Arabidopsis thaliana: one gene and its partner. The protein of the gene in region 2 interacts with the protein of the main gene of each other region in a pairwise test. Each region holds a gene or a part of one and is shown on either strand. Other genes may lie near its edges.

Region 1 (5,874 bases), on a different chromosome or scaffold from region 2:
ATCTTTTGTATGTCTTATGTTAACGTGAACATTGCCCTCGAATTCTTCGTGAAGCAAAACATCTTCATCCGTTGACCCGATCGTGCTACAATATATCCTGATAACAGAACAAAAGAAAAAGATTCATACAGGCCATTTTTGGAAGAACCTAACAACCAAAACTGATCATACGAAACCTGCATGGCCGTTTTTTCTGATCAGTAACGACATAGAGCAAAGCCTGCCCATTCTTTGCCCACGCTATGTTAGAGACACGATCTGCGTGAGGCTTACTACATAAAGCTCCAGAATTCAAGTTTCTCACACACAACTTAAAGTAATCGTTATCCTTATCATACATAGTATATGCTAGAAATTTATGGTCAGGAGATATCTCTGACATTTCCTCATAAGCATAACCTACAAAAGAGACACCAAAATTGCTTATCCCTCTTAATCCACCCCAAGTATAAGAGCCTCAAATATGCTTATTTACCTCCAAATCTCTCAGCTTCCTGATTGTAATCAAGCAGCTTCTGCTCAATCCTCTTCCCAGATGTGTAATCAAACCCTGCAGCAGGAGACTTATGAGAAATGAACTCCTCGTGCAAGCTCGCTAGCCTCCTACACAGTACTGGATACTGCTTCCCTTCTTCAACCCTTCTATAATACAACCTAATTCCACCAATTCTCAACCAAATCAATGTCCAATTGCAGCAAAAAGGACGAAACTTTCAAACTAATCGACGAGTTTACAGATAGAAAAATCCAAGCTTTTTATATCTTAAAACGATGCTAAACAAGAGAATCAGTATAATTCAATTGACCCACCAAGGTCCCCAACGAAGAGGAGGCGTGGAGAGCTCAAAGGACAAACGAGAAGCCATTTCAGACTGAAGCTTGGTCTGAATCCGATCAGTATCAGCCAAAACGGCTTCGGTATACTTCTCCTCTTGCTCCATATAGATATCCATATGCCTCATCGCCACTTTATCTTCCAGCTTAGACATCCAACTGTATGGATCCTCCCACGTCGCGTCGTGGAAGGTGAAACTCTGCGGCTTCTTCGGCGGTTTTGGTAATGCTGGTGGTGGTGGAGGAGGCGGTGGAGACTTCGGAGGCTTGTAACAGCGACATTGTTGTCGCCGGAAACGGCAATTATGACGGGAAAAGGTCCGAGAGAGATTGCTCAACATTGCCTCCGGTTGGTTATTTGGGGGTTTACAGGGTTTTTGCGTCTCAGGAAATTTTTGTCATTAAGCTTACAAAATCGGACCCTTCTGAATCAAAGAGAGGCTTTTGTCTTACACAAAAATTCAGATCATTCTGTATTATACAAAAAACAAAGAAAATTCAGATCATTTTATATAAATTTGGATACAAAAAAACTATTTAGATTTAGCATGAACATTGAAAAACATTCGACAGTACCAAAAACTAGACGTATAGTGCATGCAGTACTTGTCTTCCGATCATATCCATACAAGCCAAATTAACACATAGTTATACAAAATTATTTGTTTTAAACATAAGTATATGATATAAATACGTTGGAAGGCATATGAGGCATAATTTGTAACCTCAGACGTTGGAAAAGCGCAATCTGTACGGTATATGATAATCATTGCGAATCCTCTCCTTAAGCTCCATCTCCGTATCCCTCTTGACCTTCGTCTTGAACGCTTTCATCATTTGCACAACTTGTTTCACATCTACTTTTGATGCCTCAGCTATCTCCATCATCCGTTTTGATCAATAAACCATGCATAAACATGCCATAACTTATTATTACCTTCATCTGTCATGGACTCCATTATTGTCGTGTGCAGCCTAATCTTCTCGTCGTCTACCTTTGAAGAAGTACAAGGACCAAGGCGGGAAAGCAACTACAATGAATTTGGTAGAAAGTTACGATGTCTTGTATTCGCTATAGTAAGTAAACAAGAGTTTATTGAGAGATGATACTATACATGTTTCTCCAATCCTAATCGTCGCTTATAATAACGATACATTATTCTCAAAGTATATGCATATGGCTTATCCCATGGGTTTCCTGCACAAAAGGTGGACCAATCATGAGTGTCCATACTCATCAATAACGAGAAACCAAAGCAAACAAGGCTAAGACATGAAGGAATTTTGCTTACTCAAGAGACTCCTGACAAAAGCTTCAGCTTGAAATACTCAATATATATATACCTTGCGTAAACTGGAACCTCATCTTTGGCAGCCTTGTTGAGACGGACAAAAGCATCGAACTTGAAAGTATCAGCACACACTAAAGCTGGTCTGAATCCCTTCTTCCGGTGGTAACGAGCATACTTGGCACACGTTTTGGTCTTGTCAACACCTACACTCATATTTCATAAATACGTTTTCTCAAACATGTTTACTAAGAAAAACAAAAAACAGAGAATGACTAACCGACCTCGTAATCCGATGAACATGACTATGCTAGGTTCAAGCTTTCCCCGAATGAGTGCAGATTTTCCCGGATCTAGCTTACTAGAGAGCTCCTGTAACATCATCTGAAGCGGTGGTTCCGAGTTAGTTAAAATCAACTAAGGAGATTAGGGACATAATTACAAAGAAACAATCGTCACCATGTAGATTAGGGCACCCTTCTTCTTGGGCGCCTTAGGCAGATTGATAATTTCCAGACTTTTCGTCTCAATCTCATCCACGGCCAATCTAGGAATATCGGCGTCAAGCAAAGCGCATGTGATCTCGTTCAAGCAACTCTTCAGTTTCGTGCAGTCCATGTTGCTTGTTTTATTCATCTCTTCAAAAGACCGGCCTATCCGACCCCTCACTTCCTCCAACGCCATCCAGAAAATTAGAGATTCGGTCGCGATTTACAGGTTAGGGCTTTGGTTTTGCTCGGATACATAAATACGTCTTGCCGGGACTGCCCCAGGTTTGGCTGTTTAATAAGTTGTAAAAATCACAAGTTTTACAGTTTACACCCATAATAGTAATAATAACAATAAATTAGGGGAGCGAAAGCAAAATTCCTGAAATTTGTTTTTCCTTTCTGCCCAAACAAAAAAAAAAGGTTTTATTCCTTTATTTTTTCCAACCTTGTCAGACTTTAGAACATCACATAACAGACGACAAAAAAAAAAAAAAAAAAGAACATCACATAACAGCTGTTCCTCTCATCTCTCTTATAAGGTCCTCTGCTTCTGAGATCTTCGTTGCTTCTTTGCCTTCTGGTTTAGTTTAAAATCAATCACTACCAAAAGCCCTAATCACAGAAGAAATCATGGTTGATCTCAGTAAAGACTTACAATTTTTCAAGGTCTTTCTCCCTGAATTCGGTTCTCACGAACTGGTATACTTGTTTTATATCTCATCAGTTTATTCTTATAATATCAAAATATATTCCATGCGGAGATTAATTTACAAAAATAAATCTGCAGGTGATTCCTCCTGCATTCATCGATATGTTAGAGAAACCATTACCTAAAGAAGCGTTCTTAGTCGATGAGATTGGACGGTTATGGTGTGTAGAGACTAAAACAGAAGATACAGAAGAAAGATTCTGTGTTTTCTTCACAAAAGGTTGGCAAAGTTTCGCAAACGATCAATCTCTTGAATTTGGAGACTTCCTTGTCTTCAGCTACGACGGCGATTCCAGATTCTCCGTTACGATTTTCGCTAATGACGGATGTAAAAAAGATGTTGGTGTCGTCTCAACCACGGATAGATCTAGGGTTTCTCTTGATGAGGAAGAACCGGATGATATTTTTACTAAACCGGATCGTATGAGAGATTGTGATTGTGGCCAGAGCATTAACCGGAAACGGAAACGCGATTCGGTTAATGAAGACCCTCACGTACTGGTTGATGATAAACCGGAGTATGTTTCAACTTACAAAACCAAACCGGAGCATAGTGAAAAGACTCAGAGAACAGTTAACCGGGCTGGAGGTAATTATTAACATGTTTTTTTTTGGTTTAATTTACATTATTGCGTTTTTTAACTCTTTTTTTCATTCGGTGTTACCTAGATACTTGTGACATATCATGGTTTCCAGAGAAGAAACACAATGGATTTGAAGAATCGGTTTACAAACCCAAGCATCCGCATTTTGTTAGGAATATCACAAGAGGTTCACTTCAGAAATTGGTGAGCTTAAAGAACCTTTTTTTTTATATAAATCTGTATTAACTCATAATAATGGTTGTTTACATAATATCAATTTCTATGTGTTTGCTAGGAATTACCGTTAACTTTTCTGAGATCGAACGGGATTGAATTGGAGGAAGATATTGAGCTTTGTGATGAAAGTGGAAAGAAGTGGCCTTTGAAGATTCTGAATCACGACAGAGGATTCAAGTTCTCGCATGAATCATGGTTGTGTTTCTGTAAAAGCCATGAGATGATACTGACCAATAAGTGTCTATTTGAGTTTATTGTCCCAAGTAATGGGAGATGCAGTGAGATTCTAGTTCGTATTGTCAGTGGGAGATTGCCTACCACTATGACCAAAAATAATTACCAAGTTATTGATATGCAACCTTAAAATAAGTAAACAAATATATGTTATGTTTCGCTTCTATTGTGAATTTTGTATATATCATTTGACTATTCCGTTTCTACATTGTTTATGTGTCATACCGTTTAATTTATCAGAAAATTTAATTAGAGAATAGAAGTCAGTAGTTGTAATATTAAAAATCAACATGATGGATTGAAAAAAACAACAACAACATGATTATGTTAATTGTCGTTATGTCTCGTTACGCAAGCAATGACAAAGATAAAGCAGTCCATTAAAGGGATTAAGAATGCACTAATCGCATGAGAATTGCACGTAGGAGAGCACATAGTTTGTGTCCCTTTCTTATAAACTAATGAAATGCCAAATCAGCCACCAGTTTTCACAGAACCAACGGGACAAGAGCCCACGTAATATCTATTATTCTTCCCTTAAAAGATGTTTTTTTAATGTAACAAGTTGCAATTATATGAATGCGAAGTCTCACCAATCCATTAATATATATAAATACACACGAGTGTGTGTTGTTTACTACACAATTTCTTCTTCGTTCCATTAACAACAACAACAAAAAATCGGAAAGCTTTCTAATTTTCTTTCTCTACTACAATGGAATTTGCGACTTCGAAAGGAGAGGAGATTTTGAAAGATGAGCAAGTGTCCAAGCAGCTACACCTGATATCGTCTGAAACGCAAACGCAAACGCTGAACAAAAAAGCCGTTCTAAACCGCATCCGCAACCACAAATGTATTCACAAAATCAAGAGTCTTCTTCACACCACCGCGGCTAACAACGGAGCCACCGTCGACGCTGATTATTATCGGTGGATTGATAGCGGCGATGTCTTTTCTTGTCCGTGACAGAGATTTTGACACGTGTATGTCACGTGTGTTTGTGATTCTCTCTTTTCTCTAGTATTCAAGTTCAAGTTGTGCTATATGTAATCCTAGTGAGTAGTGATTGTAGTTTTCGATGTTCATGATGAATTGAATCATTGATGAGTTCACCGCAGATCTTTACTGGTTTCATTGTTGGGATGCGGTAATGGATAAATTGGGCCATGACTGATTATTGTTTTGATTGGGCTTTCTCAAATATTAATAAAAGCCCAACAAGTAGAATGGTTTTTAGCGCAATAATACATTGCAGCTAAATCGAATCAAATACAGTATACTGTATAACACTGCTTGGAGAGCGTAATCAATCAGCTTCAAAGTCCAAACCAAAACTAAAAAAGGATTCATTCAACAATAAAACCAACAAGGCAAAAAACAAAAACCAAAATAAAAACTGGAATGGATCCAAGTTTCATGAGAATTAGATCATTATCAAAAGAGACTAGCTAGTACAAGACGTAACTCCATCACTCTTATCTTCGTCTTACACGAC
Region 2 (7,599 bases):
ATGGTTTTTGGCCTTTTGGGGACACTATTTGATTTTATATCCATGCTTTGAATTTTGCTTCCCTTTTTGGGGAGATTCATGATGCTGGCTGACTTGCTCTTTATCGTCCCAGGTTTAGAGAATACATCGTCTTAGGCTTTTCTTTATCTCAAAACCCATTTACATTTAATTGGGCCTATATATTTCATATAGGAAGAGAGTACATGTAAACCCAATACACAACTTTTATTTATGGGTCCGTTTCTTGTAACATTTGTTGGTGATAAAAACAACTTCTGAAGAGTGATAATGTACAACTGCACTTTGCGATTAAGGAAATTATAGAAAGATACAAAGTCTGAATAAATGACTAGAAAATATGAATAAGTAGTATCCATTCTTCTCTAATTCAACATCATTTTTTTTTTTTTTTTTTTTTGACGATATTCGATGCATTGTGTCTATATGAGAGAAATTTTGGTTTGTCAGTTAATGGCTAGACTTTTATTATTATGAGCATCTAGATTTTCAGTGCATGTGATGTTACGTTGATGATGGACATAAGGAGACAAAAAGGACGGAGTTGATTTAGTACACATTTTCGTTTCTTTGTGAATACAACGATCGCCTATTTTTCGTTTGTAATTTTCCTCTTAATTCGAGAGGGGCCTCTAGTCATGTGTGTTACTTCTAGTTATAGTGACATGAACGGATGAGAAAAGTTTCTTTTTGTAAACAACATGCGTACGTAAATCAACCAAATATATTTAGTATAACAACCAAATTACTGTTGGACAACCAACCAAACAACAATTATGTAGATTATAGATTAGAGAAAACAAGGAACTAGGTCGATTAACCGCGACCACATTAGCCAAGTCCTCCAGTCGATTAATATAAATTGATGCCAAATATATTAGTTTTCACTGGGTTTTATATTATACTATCAGACCACAGAAGACATCACGTCACAGTTAACAACACTACATATTTCAGATTTTGTATGAAACGTAACTAGGTTTATATATGAGACCTTTTAACCAATTAAATGATAGTGATATGGTTTGTAACATTGTATTGTATGTATTTTAGTTGATGTGTGTGGTTGGTAAGGTATAAATTAGCTAGTGTTACGAAAAATGACTTCTTGCTTTTTCTTTCAAATTGAACGACGCTCTATTTCACTTAAATAAAACCACATTTAGTTATTTCAATGACAACATACTAAGTTTTTTCTTACATAAATTAAAAAGTAATTTTGGTTTCAGTCCAAATTTTTCTAGTTATAGGAAAGAAAATGAAAGAGTTGCTTTCAAAATATTGAATCCATTGTATTTAATTTTGAATATTGAATAGTATGTACTAAAGTCTTTTCTTTAGTAGACCAATCTAAATACGAACGAAAGTACCAAAACCATACGAAACGGCAAATAATGACATGTGGGGAACACGTAGTTAGATGAGCAGTAAATGGGAAACATATTTTGATGGTTGTCCTCATATTTTCGTGTATCGAGTTAGATAAGGAAACCTGTGAAAATTTATTTCTCAAAAGATTCCGTAAGATTCCGTCGAATATAATTGATATTTCAGTATTTTGGACTGGCAGCGAATATGGCAGACTATACAGATTGATCGTCTTCCGGCGTTGTTATAGACATTAACAAACTTTAACTACTCGTTTGCTTAATTAGGACCATCTGATGACTTTATTCTAAGTTCAAATTTAGATGACCTCTCTTTCTTGAACATATACTTGTTACATACTTAATTCATTGTGTTATTGCAATAAGTGAATTGTGTGGTTATCACTAACACGCTGACGTAAATTTACACGTGTTTATATGAACGCACACGTGTTTTGTAGCTCGAGCAAAAGACCATCTGGTCAACGGACTAGGAGGATCCGGCGTAAATCCTTTATATAATTTTTATCAAAATTATAAGAAGAACAAAAAATGTGCGATTACTATCTGATCTACGTATTCACGTGACAAACAACAATTAATTTCAATAAAGATCTACTAACTTTAGAGAAAAAATCTTATGTGTTAATAAAAAAGTAACGTCAATGATCTCGGCACACACTAGAATTAGTGTCTAAGAGAACCACGACGAACCTGCACGGACCGACCACGAGTCTCTCGACGGTGAATAAGCCACGACTTCAGTCTCCTTCTAAACCAACGTGGCGCTTCTTACACCACACACGTGTCATCATCTCCTTCTCCCTCGAACCCGCAAGCTCTTTTAATCCCTTTCAATTAATTAATTAACTATATATCACCTGCCCCTATATATATCTAAATCAGTCACTTTTTGCTTCTGTTGTCTGTCACTCAGTAACTTCTCTTTCTCACTTACACACTCTCTCTCTCTCTCTCCATTGCCTTGACTTTTGTGGTCAGTGGAATAAACACATATAACCGCCGGAGAAAATGGGAAGAGCGCCATGTTGCGAGAAGGTCGGTATCAAGAGAGGGCGGTGGACGGCGGAGGAGGACCAGATTCTCTCCAACTACATTCAATCCAACGGTGAAGGTTCTTGGAGATCTCTCCCCAAAAATGCCGGTAATAACATTTACACTTTTATTAACAAGATCATGCAACACAAACTTAATTTAATCTATAACAATGTATATATGAGAGAATAAGACATAGAGAAATAATCGTGGTTCTTGTCGTAATCTTCATGAAACATGGATTCTTAGTCAGTTTTTTTTTTTTGCTTTTGATAAAAGAATTAAGGATTGTTAGTAAGTTTTTTAAAAAATAAATTAAATTTTTAGGAAGGTTAGAAGTTTAACTGCAACCCTAATCTTTGTTTCCAATTTATTTCAGTTTTTGGGTTTTTCTTTTTTCGTGCGAATCACAGTCACGGTGGGTTGTTTAATGTAGATATATGTAAAATGCTGCCAAGTGCATGCTTTAAGAGGGTAGGTTATGTTATAGACTTATAGTATATGGACAAATGTTTAAAAGGAAATACAAACAGAAGCGTATTTATGTATTTTTGTCCGTTGTATATCATTTCAAGAATCAGATCAAAACCATATGACTAGTTTTGATTTGATTTCTAACCTCGCTTTTAATAGAAGGTTACTTAATGTAGTAGTTGAGAATTTTTTGTAGTTGTGATATATATTATATGCATAAGATATATGAATAAATACAATGATCAAAAAGCTAAGAATCTCGTGAGCAGTCACACATCAGACCCTAGTTAAATTAATAAATACCTGAAAACTTTATCAAAATTTATCTAACAAAATCTGCATAAACATATATTTTGACGTATGAATCTGCATCTAAATATGAAGTGTATTATTATATTGTTAATTGTTTTTATTTGTTTTTTGGAAAAGGATTAAAAAGGTGTGGAAAGAGCTGTAGATTGAGATGGATAAACTATCTAAGATCAGACCTCAAGCGTGGAAACATAACTCCAGAAGAAGAAGAACTCGTTGTTAAATTGCATTCCACTTTGGGAAACAGGTACTCTATTATTTTACTTTATTTTCCAAACTCTATTTTATTTATTATGTTTTTCATTTTTTCCCATTTATATTCGTTCAATTTGTTTTTATGCACTGTATCGTATAATAATGATATCATGTCGACCAAGTAAGTGGAGATTCGGTATTATAAGACGGCTTAATTACGATTATTCTCTCTCTTAAATACTATAAACTTTAGCGAAGCACATTTTTATGGTTGGAAAATTTAATTTAAAGTCGAAATGGTAAAATAAAAATACTATTTTATCGTCGAATGAGAAATAGTTATTTCGTTGTGGGTCTTCCTCTTAACCATTGGGGTGTTAGACTTTTTCTCTTTTAGTTGAGACAAACTAAATTGTACCTCATTTTTTTTACACTTCGTATATTACATAAGCATTAATAGGAACACAGTTGATATAACACATGTGCATCTGTACAACAACACTTCAAACAAAATACAGTCACATATGTATTGCAAGTTTTCAACATGAAAAACTAGTAAACATGAGAAAAAAAAAGCGAGGATCTGTTTATTTAAAATTTTAATTATTATTACTCAACGTTAAACAAGTATATGTGATTCATAGTAGTGTCCGCTAAAATAAATCCAATATTGGAAATCGGACAAGGAACTCAACGAGAGTAGTACGAATTAGTCATCGTCACTCATTACTGACATTGCTCGAGCGATGTCATGATTAGGTCAGCAGTCATATCAACATGGCAAATCAAATTTAGAACACTATTCTATTGATTCTCATTGGGCCACGAGGTTCTCTTATTCCCCGGAAAGATATTTAATTTTATCAAGGTTGTTCCAAATTGTGAATAGAGGATTAATATAATGCAATGAACAGAGGATTAATTATTGATTAATGCAATGCATGTAGGTGGTCACTAATCGCGGGTCATCTACCAGGGAGAACAGACAACGAAATAAAAAATTATTGGAACTCTCATCTCAGCCGTAAACTCCACAACTTCATTAGGAAGCCATCCATCTCTCAAGACGTCTCCGCCGTAATCATGACGAACGCTTCTTCAGCGCCACCGCCGCCGCAGGCAAAACGCAGACTTGGGAGAACGAGTAGGTCCGCTATGAAACCAAAAATCCACAGAACAAAAACTCGTAAAACGAAGAAAACGTCTGCACCACCGGAGCCTAACGCCGATGTAGCTGGGGCTGATAAAGAAGCATTAATGGTGGAGTCAAGTGGAGCCGAGGCTGAGCTAGGACGACCATGTGACTACTATGGAGATGATTGTAACAAAAATCTCATGAGCATTAATGGCGATAATGGAGTTTTAACGTTTGATGATGATATCATCGATCTTTTGTTGGACGAGTCAGATCCTGGCCACTTGTACACAAACACAACGTGCGGTGGTGATGGGGAGTTGCATAACATAAGAGACTCTGAAGGAGCCAGAGGGTTCTCGGATACTTGGAACCAAGGGAATCTCGACTGTCTTCTTCAGTCTTGTCCATCGGTGGAGTCGTTTCTCAACTACGACCACCAAGTTAACGATGCGTCGACGGATGAGTTTATCGATTGGGATTGTGTTTGGCAAGAAGGTAGTGATAATAATCTTTGGCATGAGAAAGAGAATCCCGACTCAATGGTCTCGTGGCTTTTAGACGGTGATGATGAGGCCACGATCGGGAATAGTAATTGTGAGAACTTTGGAGAACCGTTAGATCATGACGACGAAAGCGCTTTGGTCGCTTGGCTTCTGTCATGATGATATTGATTGATCCGTTATGTAATCTTTTTTGTGCATTCACAGTTTGAATCTATTCCACGTCGTATCATATCATAAAGTTTAGGATCTAAATATTAGTCCATTAGTTAAAATTATCTAATGCAATAAAACCCATGGGATGTTTGGATTGTACGTAAGGTTAAAATATTGCAGTCTTTGCTTTAGTGGAAGAATTAAACTAATATGATGTTTTTCTTTGTAACGTATTTACTATTTTCATGTAATTTAATAAAGAGGGTACGAAATGTAGGTGTACATTTGTTTGGGCTGTATATATTTCTATTGACATTAAATACGCCAAATTAGAAAAGAAAATCTTTAGTTGGAAGCATCTATTATATGTACCTCTTTCGGAATGTAAAATCACGTTTAATATTTCTGAACTGGTAATCAATCTCATCTCCTAAAATTTAATACATATCATCATTGTCAAACAATCGGAGTAGCGACGAGAACTATCATTGTTTTTCTCTTGTGATATTGCCGGCCAAATATTATTACCTCAATCATTTTGAAGCGAGTAAACATAGTTTTTTTCCCCCTTTTTTTTGTTCTTGTACACCAACAGAAAGCTGCATCACATCTGCGAATCATCACGTGCCATTCAAGTGATTACTGGAACGTGACATGAACGAATCTTCACATTGAGTGTTCCAACTCTCCTTTGTACGAAACTCCAAACAAGTAGATATATATTCAATTATTATGGATGTTGGAACAATCAAATTAACTCTTGTCCTTCTTATCGTAGAGACATGAAATTAACCCAATTCTGTAAATGAGTAGTAAGTAATCTATATATATATAGTTGACAACAGATAACACTATAATATATGCGTCCTTATAATGTTAATGTAATTATCATGGTTTGAGTTAACGTATAGAAGCATTGAAACTTAGTTGCAGACCGAAAATGATATACGATCTTAAGAGTTAAGAATCTTGAACTCGGCAAATTTTATGAAAAAAAAACAATTTCAACCATTTCTAACTAGTGATTAGATGACCAATAGCAAGCATGCACCAACGACTTCATTTTTATAAACATCATAGGGACCTAGACATATGCATTTTGTGGGCAACGGCCTACGCATTAAATTTGTGTTTCGAAGATTAAATTTATGAACAGAAGGCAACTTGCAAATTTGCTATGTACAAAAAACACAAAGGAAAAGTTTGTAAATAGAGACAATAAGGGAGAAATAAAAAGATCGCTTTCTCATAAGTCCGACTTGGTTCCACGGTATCTAGAATGCCCACGTGATGTCATGTACTTTTCCTTCTTCTCTATTCTAATATGTTGTTTAACAAAAAGAAAATTGATTGATAAAAAAAATTGAAAAATTTCATAGTGATATCTAAAGTTTAAACAAATTATCTCTAAGAAAATTGTTAGTATGCCTTGGAATATAATTTCTCAACACACAAACTGAAGAAATTGCTTTTAAAACTGAAATTTATATGGTAATGGCATACTAATAAACAGCTAAACTTTTGTAGTTTTATGTGTGTGTATTAAGAGATTTTTCAAAGTGAATGCACCTTAAGGTCATGTTTTGTGAGGTTTGATGTTGGAGAGAGTCTTTGATCCGCTGAAGAATTGGCCAGGTATCAAAATCATTTCTTAATTTATATATAAAATTTCAACTTTAAAAAAGAAACGTTCAATCTGAGTCTCTTAAAATAACAATGTGAATGTTAACACTTTGTAGATATCAGACTATCATAGATAAGATTGCTACTTAAAACATTGAAATGTTTTGATGATTCGTTAAGCCTAGCAATATATCATGTCGTTATTGGGCTTGTTTACTTACCCAGTTACCCGTATTCCAGTTATAAGCCCATTAATCAGCCTCGTACAGTTCTATTGTTGGTCAGATTATTAATTTTTAAAATAAGGGCGTATTTTCCGAAACTAAAGAAAGTATAGGGTCTTCTTCTTTTCTCTAATTAGGAAAAAGACTTTTTCAATTGTCTTGTCCGTGAAATTATGTGGAGAGCTAAACCATTCATAGCCCGACATGTAACCCAGCCACGTAATTAGACCACTCGATCACCGTTCGTATTAATGTGATTAAATCAACGATTGATATCACGCCACGTCATTGTTTTTCTTTTTTCCTTTGTATCTTCTGTTCTAAGGGAAGAAATAATAACGAGAGAAGAACGTTTTAATAAACAGAGAGCAGAGCACTTGTTCTAAAGATCAAAGCTTAAGTGAGAAGCAGAAAAAAAAATGGCGAAATCTCAGATCTGGTTTGGTTTTGCGTTACTCGCGTTGCTTCTGGTTTCAGCCGTAGCTGACGATGTGGTTGTTTTGACTGACGATAGCTTCGAAAAGGAAGTTGGTAAA

What was found. Proteins that work in one complex are often made in the same cells at the same time.
Region 1: the proteins of MYB12 (region 2) and AT5G66980 interact in binary tests that used the Arabidopsis thaliana proteins (3 or more experiments, as listed by UniProt).

Annotation. Positions count from the first base shown.
Region 1 is NC_003076.8:26,738,319-26,744,192, forward strand, and holds AT5G66980 (AP2/B3-like transcriptional factor family protein), read left to right. Parts: upstream 1-3,224; 5' UTR 3,225-3,244; coding exon 3,245-3,313; intron 3,314-3,401; coding exon 3,402-3,912; intron 3,913-3,992; coding exon 3,993-4,111; intron 4,112-4,202; coding exon 4,203-4,508; downstream 4,509-5,874. Other genes in the region: AT5G66960 (Prolyl oligopeptidase family protein), read right to left, coding at 1-97, 177-399, 476-654, 811-1,175; AT5G66970 (P-loop containing nucleoside triphosphate hydrolases superfamily protein), read right to left, coding at 2,127-2,329, 2,408-2,507, 2,583-2,807; AT5G66985 (uncharacterized protein), read left to right, coding at 5,094-5,345.
Region 2 is NC_003071.7:19,474,021-19,481,619, forward strand, and holds MYB12 (myb domain protein 12), read left to right. Parts: upstream 1-2,305; 5' UTR 2,306-2,417; coding exon 2,418-2,550; intron 2,551-3,344; coding exon 3,345-3,474; intron 3,475-4,369; coding exon 4,370-5,222; 3' UTR 5,223-5,577; downstream 5,578-7,599. Other genes in the region: UNE5 (thioredoxin family protein), read left to right, coding at 7,483-7,599. UniProt on the Arabidopsis thaliana protein: Flavonol-specific transcription activator involved in the regulation of several genes of flavonoid biosynthesis. Activates the expression of CHS, CHI, F3H and FLS1. Controls flavonol biosynthesis mainly in the root. Confers tolerance to UV-B.